3 linked regions of the Lonchura striata genome follow. The main gene of each other region encodes a partner of the protein of the gene in region 3 in a complex. Links are inferred from orthologs where the notes say so. Each region holds a gene or a part of one and is shown on either strand. Other genes may lie near its edges.

What was found.
Region 1: the proteins of SERPINC1 (region 3) and F9 are in contact, whole or in part, in a crystal structure (PDB 3KCG), measured with the Homo sapiens proteins. The link is inferred for Lonchura striata from reciprocal best matches to the Homo sapiens genes SERPINC1 and F9. Residues at the interface, in NP_000479.1 of Homo sapiens: Glu264, Asn265, Arg267, Glu269, Met283, Met284, Tyr285, Glu287, Met347, Val349, His351, Val420, Val421, Ile422, Ala423, Gly424, Arg425, Ser426, Leu427, Asn428, Pro429, Asn430, Arg431; in NP_000124.1 of Homo sapiens: Lys247, Val248, Asp249, Ala250, Phe251, Cys252, His267, Cys268, Glu270, Glu285, Tyr312, Arg358, Phe360, Lys362, Gly363, Arg364, Ser365, Leu367, Lys387, Phe388, Asp405, Ser406, Cys407, Gln408, Gly409, Asp410, Ile429, Ser430, Trp431, Gly432.
Region 2: the proteins of SERPINC1 (region 3) and F2 are in contact, whole or in part, in a crystal structure (PDB 1TB6), measured with the Homo sapiens proteins. The link is inferred for Lonchura striata from reciprocal best matches to the Homo sapiens genes SERPINC1 and F2. Residues at the interface, in NP_000479.1 of Homo sapiens: Lys258, Glu264, Asn265, Arg267, Tyr285, Glu287, Gly288, Lys289, Glu345, Met347, His351, Ala419, Val420, Val421, Ile422, Ala423, Gly424, Arg425, Ser426, Leu427, Asn428, Pro429, Asn430, Arg431, Val432, Lys435; in NP_000497.1 of Homo sapiens: Leu389, Leu390, Cys391, His406, Cys407, Tyr410, Pro412, Trp413, Asp414, Lys415, Trp455, Arg456, Glu457, Asn458, Leu459, Asn506, Thr510, Trp511, Thr512, Ala513, Asn514, Val515, Gln519, Arg541, Ile542, Asp562, Ala563, Cys564, Glu565, Gly566.

Annotation. Positions count from the first base shown.
Region 1 is NC_134616.1:732,776-740,311, forward strand, and holds the start of F9 (coagulation factor IX), read left to right. Parts: upstream 1-4,533; 5' UTR 4,534-4,613; coding exon 4,614-4,680; intron 4,681-6,942; coding exon 6,943-7,106; intron 7,107-7,340; coding exon 7,341-7,365; intron 7,366-7,536. UniProt on the Homo sapiens protein: Factor IX is a vitamin K-dependent plasma protein that participates in the intrinsic pathway of blood coagulation by converting factor X to its active form in the presence of Ca(2+) ions, phospholipids, and factor VIIIa.
Region 2 is NC_134608.1:38,795,444-38,802,401, forward strand, and holds the start of F2 (prothrombin), read left to right. Parts: upstream 1-3,875; coding exon 3,876-4,310; intron 4,311-5,284; coding exon 5,285-5,309; intron 5,310-5,515; coding exon 5,516-5,566; intron 5,567-6,008; coding exon 6,009-6,114; intron 6,115-6,195; coding exon 6,196-6,326; intron 6,327-6,958. UniProt on the Homo sapiens protein: Thrombin, which cleaves bonds after Arg and Lys, converts fibrinogen to fibrin and activates factors V, VII, VIII, XIII, and, in complex with thrombomodulin, protein C. Functions in blood homeostasis, inflammation and wound healing.
Region 3 is NC_134611.1:27,402,077-27,409,345, reverse strand, and holds the start of SERPINC1 (antithrombin-III), read right to left. Parts: upstream 3,019-7,269; 5' UTR 2,812-3,018; intron 1-2,811. UniProt on the Homo sapiens protein: Most important serine protease inhibitor in plasma that regulates the blood coagulation cascade. AT-III inhibits thrombin, matriptase-3/TMPRSS7, as well as factors IXa, Xa and XIa. Its inhibitory activity is greatly enhanced in the presence of heparin.

The sequences.
Region 1 (7,536 bases), on a different chromosome or scaffold from region 3:
CCCTGGGGGCGTTCTTTATTTTATTTATTTTATTTATTTTATTTATTTTATTTATTTTATTTATTTTATTTATTTTATTTATTCCTGTGCTGACAGAGCAGTTTTGTCTCCTGGCCTTGCACTGGTGCAAATGATTAAATGCAGGAGGATGAACCCAGACTTTGGTGCTGCCTTGCACAGAGTGGAGCCCTGCCCTGCAGAGGGTCGGGACAGATCTCACGCCAGAGGCTCCTCCAGCAGCAGGGCTCTGCCCTGTGCCTGTACCTCACGCTCTGAATGCCCCCTGGGCAGGGGCTGCCATCCTCCCCGAGCCTGCAGAGCACCTGGCTGCCTCTCTGGAGGGTTTGCTGCAGATTCTCTCCAGAGCTGGGCTCTGCTGGCTCGGGGCTGCCAGGCCAGAGCCCCGTCAGCGGGCACTGCAGGCAGAGAAGCACCCAGGCACTGGGGCAGGAGCAGAGAGAAGCCAGCAGGGCACAGCACTAGAACACCAGGTTTGTGAACTTCCTGCTGTCCCACCGCTCGGGCTCTGGGGATTTTGGGGGGAAGGTGGCAGCGAGTGCCTGGAAGCAGGGCAGGCTCGCTCCCTGGGAGCACTGGTGGCGGTGGGCAGTGCAGCCTGTGCATCCCTCTCTGCATTTCCCCTCTCAGTGCTCTTGCAGCAGCCCCACGAGCCTGGGAGGGCTCTCGGTGTCTGCAGCTGCCTCTGCAGCCCCCAGCTGCAGGGATGCTCTACAAGCAGTTATCAGAGCGAGCTCCGAGTACCTGTGACTCAGGGCGCTGACTGGGGCTGTCAGTCAGGGATGCACAGCTCAGAAATATCCCTCCCTCTTCTCTGCAATCCCCCCCTTGGGTTTTAGTGTTGATGCCACTGACAGTTTTGTTCCAGAAGGGCAAGAAGGCAAACTACAAAGGGCAGGAAGAAAGGGAGGTGGGAAAAGCAAATAGGACACAAGGATGCCCTGGGATGAGGAGAGGATAAAAACTACAGATTAAATATGATTCAGGCAACAAAAAGGAACAAGGGAATAGCCACAAATGTTGCCTCAGAAAATGGGCAGAACAAGAACACCGAATGCTGTTACTGTAAGCTCAGTGGTAGGTGCAGGAGCTTTGGCTCTGGTGGGTTTGGCTGTGCTGGTTCAGACTCATTTCACCCCAGTCTGAGCTCTCCAAGAATAAAGTTTGATGTCTAATGTGAGCTGTCAATTGAGGCTGCTTTCCCAGTTAACAGAAAAGGAGAGAGACCCCTCCCTCCCCCAGCAGGGCACACTGAATCCTCCTGCCAGTGACGGACTCGAGCCTGGCCAGGACCAGCCTCGGGCTCACACACGTGCCTGGCCTGACAGGGCTGTGTCAGCTCGTGCCAGGACACAGCAGCAAGGCAGATTTCCAGCTGATATTTAATTTAGCTCTGCTCTGTACACTGATGTTTGAGCCTGGGGATCTGCCTGACCTGTCCACCTGCACGAGCTGAGCTTTATTTCACTGCTTTGTCCAGAGTTTGGGGTGGAGATGGTGAATTCTAAATTTAGAGTGGCTTCAGCAGCACACTGTGTCTACCTGTGCTTGCACTCTGCTTTCTGAAAAGATGATGACCAGACCAAATCCAGATTTCCTTTTAATCTGGCCTATTTTAAATCAAACTGCAAGGAAAGATACTAAAGCTGCTACTGGGAAACGTGCTGCTCCATGAATTAGTAATTGTGTTTATCTTCTACATTGGGGATTTTTTGCCTGTGTTGCTCTTTTCTTACTGCCACTCAACGTGAGGAGCCTTTATTTGAATGAGACTGTTTCAAAGCACTTCTACACTCATGTAGAGTCAGGCACTTATTTACTGACAGTTATTTACTTCCTGTAAATATTTCACAGCCACAGGACCTCCCAGATGAAAGCAGAGTTTGCTCTGTGCTCCTGTTCAGGAGTCTAATTAAAACCAGAATGAAATGGGAGGGACGGAGCTAAGTGCTAACTGCAGTGGATGCATCTAGAGGGAATTCAGCAAGGGAGCCTTTTCTCGGCACAATTATTGAAGCATAAAAGTGCAGAGGAGAAGTGCCCACCTCACAACTGACAGCCCTGAGACTGGTCAGGAGAGGCTGTGGGAGATGGCAGAGCCAGCCATGCTCCTGTACATGTCTCTATTGGACACAAAATGAGTACACAGGAGCTTGGGAAGTTCAGAAGAGAAAAAAAAGCATGTTTTATTCAAATATCTGGTATTTATAGAATTCTAAGGGTGACCGTGGATTGGAGGATGGAATTACCACCTCTCCAACCACACTGCTCCAAAGATCAATCAATCATTTCTCTCCACCCACAGAGAAATATGTAAAGTATTCTGTTTTTCCATGAAATGGTGTGGGAACTCTGTCTCTTAAATATGCAAACATTATCAGAAGGCTAAAGAAGCTTTATGAGAACTTAAACACTTTTAAAAGAGCTATAAAAGAGAACTTAACACTTTTAAAAATCAAGGCAACATCACAGACCCTGCTGCCAGCTCTGAGAGCTGAACCTCGATGCAATTTCACACCCCTGAGCCCAGACAGCTCCTTTGGCCCAAATCCCCTGCACAGCCCAGGGCTGGGGCAGCAGCAGCTCCTGGGTGTGCCCCTGGTCCCAGAGCCGTGGCAGAGGCTCCCAAATCCCCTGGGCACAGCCCCAGCTGGGCAGGCACTGATGCTCTGCTGGCCGAGCACCCCTGGGTGTCTGGTGGGGCTTTACAGTGCTGGGACTTTCTCCAGGACGTTCATTTACAGCCTGGGAGGGACTGAGCTCTGCTGCCTTTTTGTTTGCAGGAATTAATTTCCCACATTCAGAAAAAGCCAGCAACCCCAAAGTAATCACATAAAGAGTATGAAAAAAATAAAGATCAAGCATTACTTCCCCTGGTTTGGTTTGGTTTCTTTTTTTTATTTAGCACAGCTGTCTAGGGAGTAAGGGCAAATTGCTTCAGGTTTTGAGTGAGGTTTTTTCGCTTAAAGGAGTGCATTTGGAGAAAAGGGAGATTAAGAGCAATCCTTTAACAAGATCCTCAAGCCATCAGGCTGTTCAACATTAATGATCAGTGCAGCAGAGCACATTTTTAAAAAATCTCTCGGATTCAAATGGAAAGAGATTTCTGGTTCTGACTGCTCACCTGCTCCATCTCCCTTGGCAGCAGGGAGCTCCTCTGAAGGAGGGGCAGTCAGAGGGGCTGACCCTGCCAGGAACGAGCTGCCCTGCCAGCTCCCTCTGCCCGGCCACCAGCACAGGCCCAGCAGGCACCTGTGGGATGCTTCCATCCCAACAAAAAAGGGATATTTCAGTAAAAAACACAGCCTACCAGAAGAGACATCGCCCAGCTGCCCATTGCCACAGCAAAGCTATTTAATGCTTTAACCACTCCTCTTTTGAGAACACTGAACACTAAGTGAAAATACACCCAGATCTGATCGATGTCAGACAACAAAGCTTTCATCCCAAAGGGCCCGTGCTGGGGATCGCAGTTCTGAGGATTTGTTTGCAAAATAAATAAAAAGAAACACTTTGCTTTCCAATTAGTGCCCCAGAAGTTGATGGCAATAGTAGTACACAACAGAAATTATTTGTGTTAATAGCTGTGCTTATTCTAATATGTTGGCATTCCCTGTGAAGATTAATTGGCAATAATGTTGCAAAAACTATTACACATGAAATATGCACCATAAACCTAAAAGAATTTGACTGACCTATGTTCTAAAGTAAAATATTTGCATAATGTGATTCTAACTATCCTTTGTTATGGCAGCCATTCTCCCCACTCCTCTTTATTGATAGAGGCATTGTTTCAGCATTTTAGCTCCATTTATTTTCTCACATTTGCATTTCCTTATGCACAGAAAATGAGAGGCGATCATTACCTTCTTCACTTTGTATTCAATTTACATCAACAGCACATTACCTCATCCCAACTCATTTATCAACCGCAGAAATTTGATAACAAAAGCTACTGTCAGTGATGAATAAAGATCATTTCAAATGGAGCAAGAAGAAACAAGATGAATTATAGGTTTCAGGACTTTTTGTTTGCTCAAGAAAAGGAATATAGAGGATATTTTCCACCTAGACAAGAGGGATCTCACGAGGCTGCAGCTCATATTCAGCAACTCCTCTTCAGCTGCAGGGTCTGTGCTGCACCCAGAGGTGCCCCCGAAGAGCATGAACCATAAATGCTGCTGCCCCTTGCCTCTAAAGGAATGTTCCTCATTTTCCAGGCTGAGTGCACAGAATTCATGGTTGATACACTCGAGGAAAGGCTTTGCCCCCACCCAGGGGCTGCCGTGGGCTCAGAGCAGCGAGTGGAGCTGCAGCCTGGGGGGCAGAGCGTGTCCAGGGGGGCACAGCCCTGCCCTGCCCTCCCTGCCCTGCCCTGCCCTGGCAGCCTGCGGGCACCCAGCACCACTGAACACGCCGGGATCCCCTGCCCGTGGTGGCACAGCACCCAGCTGGCTCTGCCAGCCCCTGGGACATCGGGGACCTTAAATTGAAGGGCTGCCCTGGGCAGTAAACAGGAACCTGCACTTTGAACTCTGGGCTGAGCTCGGCCGCCTGGACAGGCTGTCAGCGAGAGCTTTGGGCAGGGGGAGAAGATGGCAAATGTCCCCCTCGTACTCTCCGTGTGTCTCCTGGGAGCTTGTCTCGCTGCTGAAAACGCAGGTGAGTTCATTTGAGAGCCAGCAAGCCCTTCCCTTTGGGGTACAGGCTGCTGCAGATGCCAGTCTGTGCCCTGACAGCTCGTGCAGGGCTGTGGGACAGCAGCTCAGAGGCACTGCTGCCTTTCACAGCTCCTCTTTAAAGTCTGGCCCTTCGCTGGGGGAAGGAAACAACAGCTTCTGTGCCGACTTGATACAGCTTGTGGCACAGGGATTAGTTTCCAGAATGGATTTTTTCCTTAGGTTTTTTGCACCTTTAAGCTTTCCGAGCTCGATTCGGCCATTTTAGAAGGCACTCACAGAAGGGGAGAAGGGGAGAGCGCTGCTGTGGAGGGACAGTCCCACCTCTTTGTATGCCAGCACCTTGTCCTGGAGAACAACCAAGTGCTCACGTCCATGAAACACTCGTTGGATCTGCCACTGAGAGGATTGTTTAGAGCCAAAGCCAGCGTGGTTTTAACAAAGCCTGCGGGATGCAGCCAAAGCTGGAGACAAGGCAGAGCACCTGACGGATGTGGCAATCACACACAGTAATGCAGGCTGTTGCTTGATTTATCTGTAACACCAACAGTCCCAGCAGAGGCTGGTTCACATCCAGTGTGAGCTCCCGCTTCCGGCAAGGCTGCCCTTCCTTCTTGCATTAAAACACTGCTGGAAACAGGTTAAAAAAATGCTCTTTCCAAAATGTTTGCTCAGCAACGAAAAGTGAGCAGAACCTGGTATTTTTGCCACCATTCACCCAGGTGTACCCCTATAAAACAGAGTGGACAGGACAGGTGTGCCCTGCCTAGAGACCCCTGTCACTCTCTCAGGCTGTGGCTCAGCAGCTGCTGAATGAGTTTGTCCTCAGGGTGAGGATGGTTTCCAGCCCCGTGCCACTCCTGCCACCCCACAGGGCCTGCAGCCTCCAGCCCCATCAGGTTTTGTTTGTGAGAGCAGCACGTGGGAGCTGTGAGGAATGGAGAGAGGCCAGGGGGATGTGAAGGAGGTGAACCCAGATGGGTTCACGGTGGCAGTGCCTGGCACATCCCACCGGGAGGGCTCAGGGAGCCTTTTCAGTCTCCTGTCAGTGGAGGGGCTCCTCACCTGTAAGGAGCCAGCCTGGTGCCAAGCAGAGCCCATGAGAGCTCCACCACGGCATCTCCTGCAGGCTCGGCAGGGCTGGGCTCTGCTCTGGAGCCCGAGCAGGACCTGCCTGTGACAAGGGACGAGTGGCTGCTGCTCGTCCCTCGGTCCCCTCTCCCTGCCTGGCCAAGCTCCTGGTGTCCCTGAGCCTCAGCAGGGCCCGAGCCCTTCCTGCATGGCCAGCAGGCTCCGGGAGCTGCTCTGCCATCTGGTGACAAAAGGGACACGCTGAGCCTGCTGCGGGAGGCTGCAGAGGGAGGAGAGGCTGGGCAAGCAAAGCAGGGACATCCCTGGGCGAGCAGAGCGCTTCAGGGAGGGCAAGGAGACCCTCATCAGGGCTGGGTCAGGAGCAAACCCTGCCACAGGACAGCCCCTGCTGCTGTCCCTGCTGCTGGGACACACAGCCCTGCCAGGCAGCGCCCGTGGCAGCCCGTGATGGGGCTACCCCTCACCAGGCAGCCACCACGCAGGGTGGTGGCCCCTGTGGCCATCCCACCCGGCCTGGGGTCCCTGCAGTGCCAGCAGCTCCTGCTGCTGGCCCTGCCCCGGAGCGTGGCCACTGTGGATGGTGGGTACAAAGAGCCCACTGAGGAGGTGGCCCGGGGCGAGGAAGGCTCCTGTCACCCCTCCAGCCTGCAGAAGATGCTGGGAGCCAGGGCTGTGGCCAAGGATGAGGAGCAGGGAGAGGAGGAAATGTCCCTTGCTCCCAAGGGCCACAGCTCTGCAGGGCTAATGGTCTTTCAGAGCCAGCACAGGGGCAGGACACTTCTGGGGCCAAACAGAACCTCACCAAGCAGCAGCGTGGAAAAGCCAATTCTTTTCCCCTGTGAAACAGCTTATTCCATTCTGTGCATCTGTGATGGAGATTCTCACTCCATCTGCATTAGGGTATTTTAAGCACCAAACTTCAGCCCTCCCAATCACCCTCTTGCCATCAAACATTTCTGCCCGTTGACTCTTCTGACGTTCGGCTCTGCAGATTTGATCCTTTGGGCTGGGCTGAAGTGGGGCAATAAAGCAAGCTCAGGCCCACAGTGACAGTCCTGAGCTGTCTCTGGCCATGGGGCAGTGGGAAGCCTGGAAAGGGTTTGTTTTCCTGGGAGGCCAGAGCCCTGGCAGCCCTGTCCTGTTCCCACGGCAGTGTTCATCGGGAGCAGAGAGGCGAGCTCGGTGCTGCAGCGGCAAAGGCGAGCCAACTCCAACAGGCTGGAGGAGGTCATTCCTGGCAACCTGGAGAGGGAGTGCATAGAGGAGAAGTGCAGCTACGAGGAAGCCCGAGAAGTGTTTGAAAACGAGGAGAAGACGGTGAGTGCCACGTTCTGGCAGCCCCTGGTTCCCTCCTCCAGCTGGGGCCCAGGGGCAGCAGGAGGGAGCAGCCAGGAGCAGACCCGCAGTGCTCGAAAACCTTCAGCACTCACACCAGGTGGTGGCTTCCCTGCCAGCCTTTTCCCTCGGCTTTGGAGCCATCCAGGTACTTCAGTCAGACAACACCCAGAAATTAGAAAACAAAGAAAACTTTTTCTTTTTTTCCCTTTGCAGATGCAGTTTTGGCAAACATACGTTGGTAAGAGCTGCTTTCTTCATGTTCTAATGCTTACTATTCCTCTCTCAGTGCTTAGAGACCCGATGTTACTGTTACAAATGTATTTTATAAAGACCCGATGTTACTGTAAGAAATGTATTTTATAAAGACCCGATGTTACTGTAACAAATGTATTTCAGCATCCGGAAACTG
Region 2 (6,958 bases), on a different chromosome or scaffold from region 3:
CAGGATCCTGGTGAGAAGGGAAGAAGGATAACAAGGAAAAGGATATGTGCCTGCCTGGTGCCATATGCTGGCATGGGGAGCAGCTACACAGCCTGCTTTGTGTACCCATAATAGGTTCAAGCAGCAAGCACAGAGCTCTCCTGGGTAATGAAGTCCACCATGCTGGCAGGCTTCACCAAATCTTTGGGGTGCTGCTGCAACACTCCTGGGTGACAAATGCCAAGGTCTTTTGGATGATTGGGGTCCTTTGTGCTGGCAGGGTGACACCAGGTGTCAGGCATGCATACAAGTGTTACATTTAAACCTCACACCACAATCAGGGTTCAGTTCCTGGCCAAGTTGTAAACTGGCTTAAACCTGACCAAGGTGTTTGAATGAAAAGGAACAGGCTGCACAGGGAGGAGACAATTCTCTGGGTCCTGGCCCTCGGGGACAGGGGAACTCCCATGTGAAGGGATAAAGGTTTCATGTTTCTGATTGTATCCAAGATGTTGCTTTGATCAAACTGTATAACTCACTTTAGGAACAGATTAATAAACGCTTCAACTATTGAACCAGCAAACTATCCATAACAGAGCAGACAAAGGTCCAAGAAAATGGGCCAAGGCCAAATCCCCTATATTCTGCTCCCTGGAAGTTGAAAAGTTACACAGGAAAAAAAAAAAAAAAAGAAAAAAAAGAAAAAAAAAAGCCAAATTTCTTTACTTAAAAAGAAGAATTAACACATAGGACGAAAGAGATCAAAATTCCCAACTGTGTTACAAGCAGTAACTCTGGATGGAAAAGGTATCTTAACTCTCTTGTCCTAAGAAAGAAAATAGCATCCATCATTCATAGGTGAGTGAAGGCAGAAAGAAAATGAAATTATAAAAAATTGGTTTGAATGGAAGAGGTAAATGTTGGAGGGGTGGAAGTCATCCCTGGAGAGGTGGTGATAGCTGATGCATACTGTGCTGCTGCAGAGGCTAACCACAGGAATGGGAGAAACAGAAAGGAGCCCTAGAAGCACATTACGGAAGGAGAAAGGCCACAGTGTGAAGAGTCAGCATTTTTAATTACTAACATTGCTGTGAGACACCAGAAAGAGCTGGAAAGGGTCCCAGGATGTAGTGAAAATCTCCAATTACAAAGCAAAATGTAAAGAAATAGAAGACATCTAAGTGATAGATGTATCCTTGAGCAATCTAGAGATAAGAAGTTTCAGCAGTTACAGTTAACAACTTAGTTGCCCTGATAGGTGGGTTTGTCTTGTATCGCTCGGGAAAGAGCAGCAGCAGCAGAAAGCAGCTGGGCAAGAAACAGCCAGACATAGTGACAGAATCATCAGTTTCAGTAAGGGTTTTTCAAACAAATGCTTAAGCAACAAAATAAATGTAGGAACCAGAACAGAAGTAATGTTTAAGGAAGATGGCATAAGTGGGTATTAGAAGATATTCATACCTGTCTGATAACCAAGGTTAACTGCTGTATTGTAGCATTGCTTAAAGCTGGCCTTATATACTGCATGATCCCATGGAAGGTGGTAAGACCTTTCCTTTAAAGGAAAGACAAGCAGAGGGTAAAAATCTATGCGTAACAACGTTGACTTAAGCTGCCTGGTTGTTACAAAGAAGAGACAGAGATGCAGAAAAGAAAGTGATTGAGGAGACTGAAAGCTGCTCCTCCTCCAGTGAGGAGTGGAGGTGGCTGTGTGGGACACAGCAGCAGCCTGACCTTACCATTCTTGTTTGTGCTTTTCCCTGTCCCTGCCTGCGCTCTCTACCTAAATGCTGCTTCCCCTGCTAAGTAACATGGGGATTTCCAGGGTTGTGTCTAATCCCATTCACACACTCTCCACCCAGGTCATTTCCACCCAGGGAATTCCAGCCATTTCTAAAGGTGTATTTTCAAAATCCATAGCGAGGAGTAGAGATGTGTGTGGATGAGAACAGGAGATACTCTTATGTGAGGAAGGAAGACTCTGCAACTGCTCTTTGTACCAGTGTCCAGAGTCATTCTTCAGCCACCCTAATGCTAATATTTGCACTTCTTCTATGGAGATAAACATTACAGATGTATCAGCTGCACAGAGGCACAGGACAAAATATGCTCCCTGCTGGCAGGAAGCACTTTTGCTCCATGTGGCAGATTCCTGAGACTACCCCCATGCTGCCCTGCTTTCTGCTGTTTTTCCACTCTTGCCAATAGTCTGCTTGCTGTAGCAACCATTAGAGCCTTCCCAGCTCTGGTAGTCCACTTCTTGACTTAACAGCTGATGTCATTACATCCAGACCATTCCTCTCTCCCCATTCCTGGAAGCCCTTGTTTTTCTGGCTGGTTTGGGGTGTGCTAGCTCCCTGCTTGTCAGAGTTTCTGTTTCCTTTTAGATGGACTTTAGTACATTCCACTAAGGGGGGAAGAAAAGGGGGAGCCTAGCCTTCATGCTATTTCATCCTCTTCCACTCAGCTGGGAATTATAAGGCATTACGAAGAATGCACTGCCAATGGCACTGGTAACTAACCTAACTGGGAGGAAAATCTAAATCCCAAATGGGCTGTCAAAGGCACCCTTTCTGCTCATTGTCATGGGCAAGGGAGAAGGGAGAACACAAACTGTGTTGTGGTGCCAAAATAGCTGAGGCTGAGCTTACTGATAACTGCAGGAAGGAAAGACAACTGAGCACTAGGGACACTCAGGGGGGCTTGCAGCTAAAAAGAGGACTGGGAATGGCTAAGGAGGTCTCAAAGTCCTTCTGTGTTTGAGGTAGCTAGAGTACAACCTTTGAGAACAGTCAGTATTAAGGACCTGAACCAGCATGGTGGGGAGGCAGTGATGGTGCCAAGGGGCTGCACAGGAGCAAAGCCAGGGAAAAGGAGCAAGCTCTCTGGCTGGGATGGCTGTGAGCTGGCAGAGGTATCTCTCTCCAGCCCAAATTTTCCCTGTACCCTAGGACAAACTTGCCCTCTTGCTACTCATGCATCATCCTAGATATGAAATAGGAAGTTAAGTAAGGAAACAAAGATGCTCTGACAGGAGGGAGAGATGCCAAAAGAGGAGGGATAAGAGTCCCACTGTCCCTGACACACCATGACCTGGAGTCCTGTTTCTTCATTCTGGTTCAATATTAACCCAGCAGGGCTGTGAATCTGCTTATTCTGCTTCCTTTGCAATTCCCCTGCAGCCACGGCTGTACAGCATGGCGCAGAACAAAACCAACATACTGAGGGGCCTGCTCTTCTCCAGCCTTCTGCACCTCACCTTGAGCCATGCTGGAGGTAAGACTCAAGGGCAGAAGTACCAGTAGATGACAGGGGGAAGACAGAGATAGTTCTTTCCAGGGGTAACACAGGTGGCAAGTTTTCTTCCTCAAGTCAGGAGGACAGGCTAAAAGCTTGAAGCTGGGAGCAAAAGGGTGCTGAGAATGGAGTGAACATAGGAGGATGCAGCTGCATCTGCCAGCTGGTGATAGCAGCTCAGTGCATTTTATGGGTCACCTGGGAAATGGCAGGGAGGGGACTGTGGTCCAGGATCAAGTCTAACAATAACCATGGGGCTTTTGGGAATAGAGTTTCTCAGCTGACCTAGATGACTTCAATTCTCTATTGCTTGTCCTGCTGTGCCTTATCAAAACCTTAGGTCATACAAAATATTCCACCTGCCTGCTCACTGCTCCCTAAGGAGCTTCTGTCTTTTCTTAACATGAGGTTAAGTACTCTTCAACCCACTACTGAGCAGGAGAAGACCTGTCTCCACATCTCAAATCAGGGGCTCTGAACATGAACTGGAACCAAGTTGTGTTTAGCACAGTGGTCTGAGACTTATAAGACAGAAATACAGTGGCTGGGGATAGGGACAGCAGCAGGCTCAAAGCAAACAAGCCTCTATCTAACTGCAAATGAGCAGAGCAGCTTTGCCGAGGAAGCAGTGTTCCTGTTGCTTCTGTTCCTTAAGTGATGGGAGCTGTGATGGGATGAATTCCAGTGAGCCTGCTCTGATCATCAAGCGTAGACATGACAGGGCTTCTCCTCTCTGTATGGTGTGCTGGGGGAGGCTGGGCTGTGGGATCACCACATCAGCTGCATGTGGTTTTTGGAAACTGCAAGGGGAGACAAAGGTGCCCTCTGGCTGTGAGCAGCCCTTTGACTGGCAGTGTTCTGACCTGATAGTTTTCCTGGAAAAGGGGCAGGCATTGTCACTGCTCAAGCGCCACCGACGTGCCAACAAGGGATTTCTAGAAGAGATGCTTAAGGGAAACCTGGAGCGAGAGTGCTTGGAGGAGACATGCAGTTATGAGGAGGCTTTCGAAGCCCTTGAATCCACTGATCAGACGGTACGTACCGGGAAACATTCCCCCAGCCAGCCTCTGTGGGGAGACACCAGCAGGTTGCCCACACAGCCAGGGACCAGGGTTGTAATACTCAATTCTGTGAGCTAAAGATGAGGCTGATGAGTGCATGCCCCACGGCAAGCTCAGGCTTCCTTAGGGAGTTTCCCTTCTTGAGACCTGCAGGGAATACACTTGAAAGCTCAGGTTCTTTTCTCTCCCTCTCTATGCATGAAGTGACAAGGTGCTATTGGTCCCGAAAAGCACCTTCCACCAGCTCAGCATGGTACCATACATGCGAACTGCTATCCCAGACACCCACAGAAGCACTGGCATAGTAGTCAAAACACTAAGTGCAGGTTGCTCAGACTCCCTTGAGCTTTTGCTTTTGCACACCCTGTCTATTTTTCTGCCTTCCAGACTCACTCACTCTGTCAAAGTTGTCCGATACTGCATCCTTTTGGGATTTGTTCCTAGACCCAAGGCTGGTGTCCCTGCAGAATTTCACACCCAAAAAACCCATAAACAAACAGTTAGGAGCCTAAGCCAGCAAGACACTAGCTCTTTGGAGTACTTCAAAAACAATCAGCCTCCAGCTGCATGGCAGAGATGAGCAATACCTACATGTGATCTATGGCCTTAGAAATTCCAGGTTCAGCTGCTTGGACTTCTGCACTGTAGCATACTGCATTACTTGCACTGCTTGCTTTGCAGGTTGATGAAGGTTGTAAACATCTTTGGTCTTTTTAGAAACAACAGTACTGTCTTGATTGCCAAGTCTGATGTGTGGGAATGTGGTTTTGCATCACATTTTTGCTTTGACTCCATAGTAATTGGTATAAACAGAACTAGATTAGTCTTTCCTTTTGTTGTTATGGAACATTCTCTTACTGGTTTCAATAGCGGTAGCCCAGAAAGGTTTGATGTTTGATGTTCTGTGTCCTTAAATTATTTTTTCTTTTTTTTTTTTTTTTTTACAGGATATATTTTGGTCAAAATACCAAGGTAAGTTGAAGTTGTTTTGAGTCTTGCAGGTATTGTTATTCCTTAGAATGCACTGTCTCATCCTGGAGAGATGGCTCCCTCTTTTAAGAGCTCACTTTCCAGGGCTAAGCACTTGTGTTTTGTCTCTAGATGGTAACCTGGTTCAAATGACGATGCTTATTTGGATTGCATTCATACAATGTGTTTCTTTCTTCTTATTTTGCTAGTATGTCAGGGCCTGGGAAAGTCCAGGACAATTCTGGATGCTTGTCTAGAAGGTATGAACTTCATGCTGACCTCAATCTCCTAGATACAGTGAGTGCCAGGAACTTGCTTCCTGCAGAGATTGTACAGAAAAGAAATTTAACTGATGTTAGAGAAGCCATCTAATTTTAAAGAAAAATACAAGGGGAGGAATTTGAAATTATTTCTTACTCTTTATTTCCCCAGTAATCATTTCAACAGACAATCTGGCTTGTGCACTGAAATAGCAGCCTCTGAGAAAGGCTCTGAGCCAAAGCAAAGCACAGAGCCCTCACAGACAGCTCCCTCTGATGAAGCAGAGAAAGCTTAGGCTTCTCACAGGAAGAGGATGCCTCTGCTATTGCAGGCTCATGCACCCAGCAAAAGTTAAAGGGATATGTGGGGATGGTACTTCTGACCTTGCAAAATGCAACATCCAGTTCCACTGACTGGCTTGCACTGTTGGGATTTTGACAGGTAACTGTGCTCTTGGGCTGGGCCAGAACTATCAGGGAACAATTAGCCAAACCAAGTCTGGGATTGAATGTCAAGTGTGGACAAGCAAGTATCCACATATACCTAAGTAAGTTCATCTCCCACATACCCCTTAAGAGTTCTCTGGGGTATCCTTCCTTCCTAGCCTAACCAGCTTTGTCTCTCATAGATTTAATGCCACCATTTATCCCAACCTCATTGAGAACTACTGCAGGAACCCAGACAACAACTCAGAAGGCCCGTGGTGCTATACCCGAAACCCAACAGTAGAACGGGAGGCGTGTCCTATCCCCGTGTGTGGTATGCCCCAGCACTCCAGAGAGCCCTTCACTCACAGCAAAACACTGCACTGAGACTGACACTAAAGCAGTCAAGGAGAGGGTTAAGGAGGGGGAATGCTTACATGAACAGAGGTCAGTAGGAGTAGAGAAGTTGCATCTTAAAGGGTAAAGGAGATGAGGAAGAAAAGTCACTGAGTTGCCCATACATAATGAGCTATTTTCTCTAGATTACACTAATGTAGATCTAAATTAAAACCAGTATCGGCAGTACCTTGGAATGTACTACAGTATTTTCTAGTCAGTCACCCCAGAATCCTGGCCCAGCTGTCTCTAATTTGTGACAGCCAAGAGTCATAATGCTTTTTGGTCTGAATGCCTACCTTTAGAACAAAATAACTAGTTTATGCTTGACTGCCTGCCTTAACGTTCTCTCCTGTGAAGGTGTGCAGTTTAATACTCACAATTTCAAGTAAAGAGAAGATACCCTTCTCTCATCATTAAGCTGAACATAGAGGATCATCTCCCTACACTTGCACATTCCCGTTTCTCCCTAGTACAAAGCCATCTCCTCTGGGGCTTGGCCTCTGTCTCAGAAGAACTGGTAAAGGAGAGAGCCTTCTCACACAGCAGAAGTTTCTCTTCCAAAAATAG
Region 3 (7,269 bases):
AGTGAGGTGGCTATAGTGTAAGGACGCTGCCAGGCTCACCTCAGCCTTACAGTACTTTTCAGTTACTGATGTAGGAGGTACTATGACAGAGAAGAAAGGTGATAAGGAAAAGGAAAATGTCTCCAAGGAAGCTGGTCCCTCCGTGGACTGAGCATCTACATCTCTAATCCCCCAAAAATGTACTTTATGAGCAGTATGGTGTAGCTGGTACATCACACCAATTCCTGCCCAAAGTTCATATCACCTCAATGCAAACTGGTTGTCCTTGGTACCTAAAGAGTGCAGGCTAATGGCAATTATTGTGTTCCAGCAAAAGTAGGTCTCTGAAAATCTTCCAGCAAGAGAGAGATAATTTGTATTTTTCCCTTTGCTAAAGCACACTAAACTTCAGAATGGTTTCAGTTAAAAGGAACCTTAACTATCATCTGATTGCACCCTCTGCCATAGGAAGGGACACCTTCACTATCCCAGGTTGTTTGAAGCCTTGTCCAACCTGGCCTTAGACATTTCCAGAGATGGGGCAGCCACAGCTTCTCTGGGCACCCTGTGCCAGGGCCTCACACCCTCACAGGGAACAATTTCCTCCTAAATCCCATCACCCACCAGCTCTGGCATCAAGGCCTCAAGAGCCATCCCAGGGCCTGCATGCTGTGGTTCTAAGATGCCCTTTGCATGACTGCTTTGTTTATGTAACCCATGGGAGGAAGCTCAACACCACAGCCACAACAGTTTGGGAAACAACTATTAGGAGGGACTGGCAGCCTGCCCAGGTCTTGCCTGCTACAGGGCACTTTTTCAAACATGTGTCTAAGTTAGGTAAGTCTCTGCCTGCCTGCACATACTCACTGCCATGGCTACCAAGCATTGCTCTCTGAGAAACTAAATTAAAAGTCAACTGCATTTAGCACTGGTGACCTCCAGCCTGTGATCTTCCAGTGCTGGTGGGCCAGCACCTGCTGGAGGAAAACGGGAGCAGCTCAAAGGCTGATCAGGAATGAAGGAGACCTCGGGGCTCTTCCACACCCCCTCCCTGAGCTCTTGGCCAATGACTTCATCTGTGCTCCAGTTCCTCTGCAAAAGCAGAAACTACCTCATCTGGCACCAAGGCTGTCTGGAGCCCAAGGCTGTGTGATAGCACAGCAAAACATGAGGGACTCACTCAGGCCATGGCCACAGCTCTCACTGGTAATGACACATAGATCATCTCGCAAAAGGTTTAGGACAGATACAATACCACAAAGGGTAAAAAAAAAAAATCTAAAAAGGAGAGAAGTTAACCAATTAAAAAACAAAAAACAACACTCAGGCCAAGAGAAAGGAAAAATATGAAGACAACTGAAAATTGCACTCCAGGAAGTGCTGTTCTTCCAAACCTTTCAATCCCACAGGAAAAGTCAGCCAGCAACAAGCCAGACACACTCCAGTGTTCTGCAATCCTGGGGCCAGGAGCAGAGCCCTTCACTGCCTGCAGCAGCCCTCCCTCACCCTCACCTGGTCCTGCAGCTCCAGCAGCACCGACACACTGGTGGCCAGACCCACCATGGGAAGGACAACCCCATCATGGTCCCTGCCCTGTCACTGCACTCACCTCCAGGGAAAGCCATGTCCTGACCCTGTCTGTACAAGAACAAACACCTGCTTCTGTCAAACCAGAAGCAGCTTGTGGTGTTTGCCATCACACAAAGTGTTGTTAATCTAATCTCATATTTAGGGACCAAAGCACAAGAGTGGGGAGGGCACCTTCATCCTCACCCTGTTCTCATTAAATGAGAAAGACTCCCTGTTTTTATCTGCAGCAAAGCCCCGACTCCATCAGTTCAGGGAAGATACAGGACTTTATGCTAACCCCTTAAATCTACTTTACCATCCATTAAGGTTGATATGGCCTCTGACACATCCAATCTTGTCTCTTATAGGCAAGAGCCTCTGCTGTTTCTTAGAACAGCTCTTTGTCACAGCTTTTGGCCAAAACCCACTCCTCCTCCTCCTCCTCCTCCTCCTCCTCCCACAGCTCTTCAGTGCTCCCTTTTCCTTTGCAGCACCAACATGCACTCCATGTGTCAACCTGGAAGGAGGCCAAAAGTATTCCCACAACAGCACTGCCTGAGAAGGATTACTGGCAAGAGGGAACATAGAAATTAGAAAAGGTTCTTACAAGGGTGAAGCAACACAAAGTGCAGAAAACCAAGAAACAAGTTGCTGATTAAGCTCAAATCAGAAGGCTCTGGGGAAGCATCGAGAAACTTCCCGATCCCTTGGCTGCTGTACGACATGGTTGGGCTCTCACCAGCACACACCATTTCCATCCCCCTCTTCCATGGCTGCAGGACAGGATGATTAATTGGGCTTACAGACTCCCAGCACCCACCCTCCTGAACCTACTGGGGCTACTGGTAGTGGTGGAAATGTCCCACAGCACCCAAGCACTGTGCTACACAGCCCAGTCAATATAAAATAGCTCAAACCATTTTGAAATTAATTTAGGCTCTTGAGAAGCCTTCCCCACTGCCTCACAGCCAAAACCAGAGTCCAAAGGAAACCAGCAGTGTACTTTTGCAGCCAGCAGTTACTCAGGACTTCCTGACTTCATTAACTGCCCTCCACACCATGACTGCTGCAGGCTGGGGGTAAGACAAGTCTGATGATTTAGAACACCAGCCATCATGACACCTAGGGGTGAGAGGACTCGCTCTAATAGAGCAAAAAGCCACTCTGGCAGCAGCTAAAATTCATAGGCTCCTACTAAGGGAAAAGAAGCTGTTTCAAGGAATTAATTAACAATGAAAGATGTGTGGAATCTATTTTTCTTACCTGCCCCTGTACCTCCAGCCTTCTGCTTTTAGGAGGTAAATTCAATTTTTTGAGAGAACAGTCTTGCTTGAGCCCAAAGCAGTTTCCCCACTGGATTTCTGTGCTCAAACAGAGCTGAGACAGCAGCAGGGGATGGTGGGAGGGGAGTAGGATGCTAAGGCCAAAGGCTGATGACCAGCTGCTGAAGGTTAAGCAAAGAGTAGGAAAAAAGAGGCAATGTTTAGTTTGAAAGAGGTTTTAAAGTTCAATCTGACAAGGGAGAGTTTGACCACCTACCCCATACAAGCGTCACATGCCCTCAGTTTTTGCCAACAGAAAATGAACTGCTTATCCCATGAGAAAAACCTTAAACCCTTCAAGAGTTTGAATAAAAATTATATAAAGCTATTTGTAGATCTAGTTTAGGGATCTTGGAGCCAAACAAAATGTTTCCCCCATCTGTCCCAAGCCCTGTCACCTGTTCCCTGTTTCCTGAACAGACAAGTTGGGAGAAATTGCCCCAGTTCACATTCTGCAGTTTCAAATATATCCCATCTTAAACACACTCACCTGGAAAGGGCCCCCCAGGGAATGGTCACAGCCCCAAGGCTGCCAGAGCTCCAGGAGAGTTGGGACACTTTCAGGCACAGGGTGGGATTGTTGAAATGTCTGTGCAGGGCCAGGAGTTGGACTCTGTGATCCTGGTGGGTCCCTTCCAGTCCAGGATATTCTGTGATTCTGTGACCTTTCACTTGCAGAGCTGGAAAGCTGAGGATTAACAGCAGCTCCCCCAACTCCTGCCCAGATTCACAAGGCAGAGCAGTGAGCAGAACTGAACACAGTTTCTATTCCAGGATGCAGCTGCTCTACAAATTCTGCAGCCTTGCCTCTGAAATTTCAAATCGCAGGAGCAGACTCTCCAGTGAGAGGAACATTTTCCCTTAATGGAAAATGCAACTGCAAACTGGTCTGGGTTAAAAGACCTTGCTGTATCAGTATGGGACATAGTTAAATGGACAGAGATTGTGGAGATAATTTGAAGGGTAATGTAAAAAACATCCTCCATGAGAAAGGAAGGACTCACATACTGTACCTTGTTACTTCAGGTTTAATTTTTTGAGGTAAATGACATGCTCACAGATCCCAGGGTTTTCAGTGATTAGGGATGCTCCGCACCCAGGCAGACATCCAAGCACAGGTTTCCATTTTCCCAGTGCTCAGAGGTAGTTTAAAGCAGTAAAATGAAAAGTGAACAACTATGCACATCCCACAGAGCTCCCAAGGCATTTTTTCCTAGGGTAACTGAGTTATTGTAACATTTGAATGCAGCATGTAAATGGTAATTTATGGCTGGTTTAGCTCCAAGCAACAACCCAGCATTCACATCTGAGCAGAGCTATCCAGGAAGCACCCAAGATGGCCAGTGTCTTAATCCAAACTGCTAGATGCCTTCTTTGCTCTGATGTAGGGGCTGTTTTTCTCCCAAACTCAAAGCAAAGATCAGAGACTCAAAGCCATCAAGCACCAAAGCCTGGCAGCCTGTGGCAAGACAGATGAAGTATCATGCTTTGGTTTTAGTCTCTCCCACATTTTTAGTCCCCAGGGAGCTGGAGTTCACAGTTAGGAAGGAGGTTACAGAAACAACTGAACACATCCTAGCTGGAAAGAAACAGTGCTTAAACATACCTGATGGGTGAGGAGGAATATAAATAGCCTTAATTTTGTTTTGTGCTTTGGGTCTTCACTGTTGAGTTTCATGGCTACACACAGGGAAAATGACTCTTGCACTCACAGAGCAAGATGGAATCAAGGCTCATGAGCTAGCCTTTTCAAGACTTTTTTCTATCCTGCTATCCATATCCAAAGGGGAAAAAAATTCCAGCAGGTACCATCCACTTGAGCCTGGTCTCCCCTCTTTTCCACATGAAGAAACTCAGCAAGTTTCCCCCAATCTCTCTTGATGCAGAGCACCCACTTCTTTCCAGAGGGATCTGACTTTCCAGTGCTCCAGATTTTCCTTTTAAAAGCCAGCCACTGTTGGAATTCAGCTCTTTTTTTTCCCTTCTGAAGTGAGTCACTACATGAGGATTCTGAATCCTCAGACTAATGGCAGAAAGGGTAAGGAAACCATCACCAACTGAAACTTAGTTTTCTGCTGGCTTTCCCACTAAACGGAATTTCTTTATAGGAATTGAATGCTTTGACCCACCCAGCAAGTAAGTGTAGAGGTGTGAGGGGGCCTAATAATGAGCAGTGATGGGCTTCAGCCCAGCAAAACACACCTTACCTTGATCCATGGTGCCCAGGCTCAAGCATATTAAGACAATAGTAATGAACATTATGCATGAACTCGAGGGGCAGAAGGCTGTGCTTGCCCTGGAGTAGAAGGAGCAGTTTTTCAGTGAAGCAGCAGCTTCATCCAGTTTCAGATTTACAGCTAATGACTTGTTAAAGACCACAAAAAGCTGTAAAAGGAGAAGACTAAAAACCACAAAGCAGACTGTGGAGCAAAACTTACTTTCACTTTAAGGCAAGTTCCAAACCAGGCTCAACGTTAAGACAAATGCTGCTCACTCTTTGCTCTGAAGGGTTTGGTTTGCTTTTAAAATATGTACACTCTGAGCAATTAAAAAAACTTGATTATTTTGAGCATCTTTTCTTGTTCACCTCTGGTGAACAGGTGAAGGACCCACTTTGTTTACAGGTGAAGTCAGAAGAGAGCAGACCAAACCCTGGAGATGTGGCTTCTCTGCTATTTGGCATCTCTTATGCTGCAGCCCAGCAAAGAGCACACACACCCTGAGCTGATGAAAATCTTACTCAGATGGTCCAACAGTCTTACACCTCACACAAAATTTAAAAGAATGTACAATCATCCCAGACAGAAAACAAGAGATACTTCAAAGTGTTCTTCATTAATTTATCACTTAATATAAATGCTGACAGAAAAGCAGGTAAGACCTTGTAGACACTTCCATCTATTTACAAACCAAATAGTGAATCACTTTTCCACTTTTTTGTTGTTAAATCTGCAACTCAAAGGACCCTTAGACATTCTGTGAGTGCAAGGTGGAGTCAGGGAGAAAGAGGGAGAAAAGCAAGGTAAAGAGGGAAGAAGAAATAGCATTTCAACATATGTTTTTTTCTATGTAACTGCCATGCATTTACAGTAGGTCTCCCTTGTTCTTTCACACAAAAGTGACACCGTTGCCTCTATAGGTCTGAGAATTAAATAAAGACCAATACTGATTTTTCAAATCTCTGGATCCTCTTCCCTTTTGCCTCCTTCAATGCATTCCCACTTCAGCAGAGTACCTAGAAGGTTTTTCTTTCAAGTCTAAAAAGTACATGGTAGGAGTAAAGACACAGGGAGTTGGATATAGAGAACTTTCTTCTACTTCTTTTGTTATCTCAGTTTTCCCAAGAGGTAGCAAAGCATCTAACCTTTCCTGGAAAAGACAGAGCAATTCCCCATGTACCTCTGAACATCTCCCTCATGATCAAGCCTGTATGTACAAAACTTCATAATTCCTCTGAACTTGCAAATAATTCAATTTATGTAATTTTTATCATACATTCTACTTTGTGTATACTCCTGTTGTAAATATTTTGATAGTCACAAACAATACATAGCCACATTATCAACCCAGAGGCAGCCACTCCCATTAAGGAATTTTTGTTTATGGGAAAGAGAAACAGGAAAGGAAGAAAACAGCAGAAGAAGAAAAGCAAGGAAAAACACAAGGAGAGAAAGAATGATATTTTGTTTAGCACTGAATCATGAGAACAGCAGATGTAACTTCACTTATGTAGGATCCTAAATAAATTTAAGAAATAGTTCATAACCTGATTCAACAAATGTCATGGTCTCCTTTATTACCTAGACTATCCTTTATTTTATTTTTTGTTAAATATACCTCTGCAGGGCACAATCACATACAATCAATACGATTGGATAATTACATGAGCTCTATCCCAAGCATATATGCACCGATGTTAAAAAGTTATTTAAAAAACAAAACAAAACAAACAACCCAAAAAATAAAATAAACTCCACCCAAAAAGGTGATAATGACTGCAGAATGTCTCGGGGAGACTTGTAAGGAACTAACAAGATCAAAGAAAATTAGACTTACAAAAACCACCAAAAAAAATCATATATCGAGAAATCCCACAACTGGAAGTAAATGATTTCAAAGAAGTGGGAGCTGTAATATAGACCCCACAATTCTTCCTCCTTCTTCACACACAGGTCTAGCTTCACCTCTTCCTCCCCATAGCAACAAATACAAGGAGGGGAAGAGCTTAACACAACGCTACCAGTTAAAGAAAACAGGGAAAAATAGCCAAGCTACAGAACAGCTGCTAAGCTGAATTCAAGGAAAGATCCTTTTAGCATGAAAGCTGCTTACACAGCAAGCAGAGGCTAAAGGGGGAATGGGAACTCCTTAAAATTAGGGGAAACTCTAGAAGTGATTA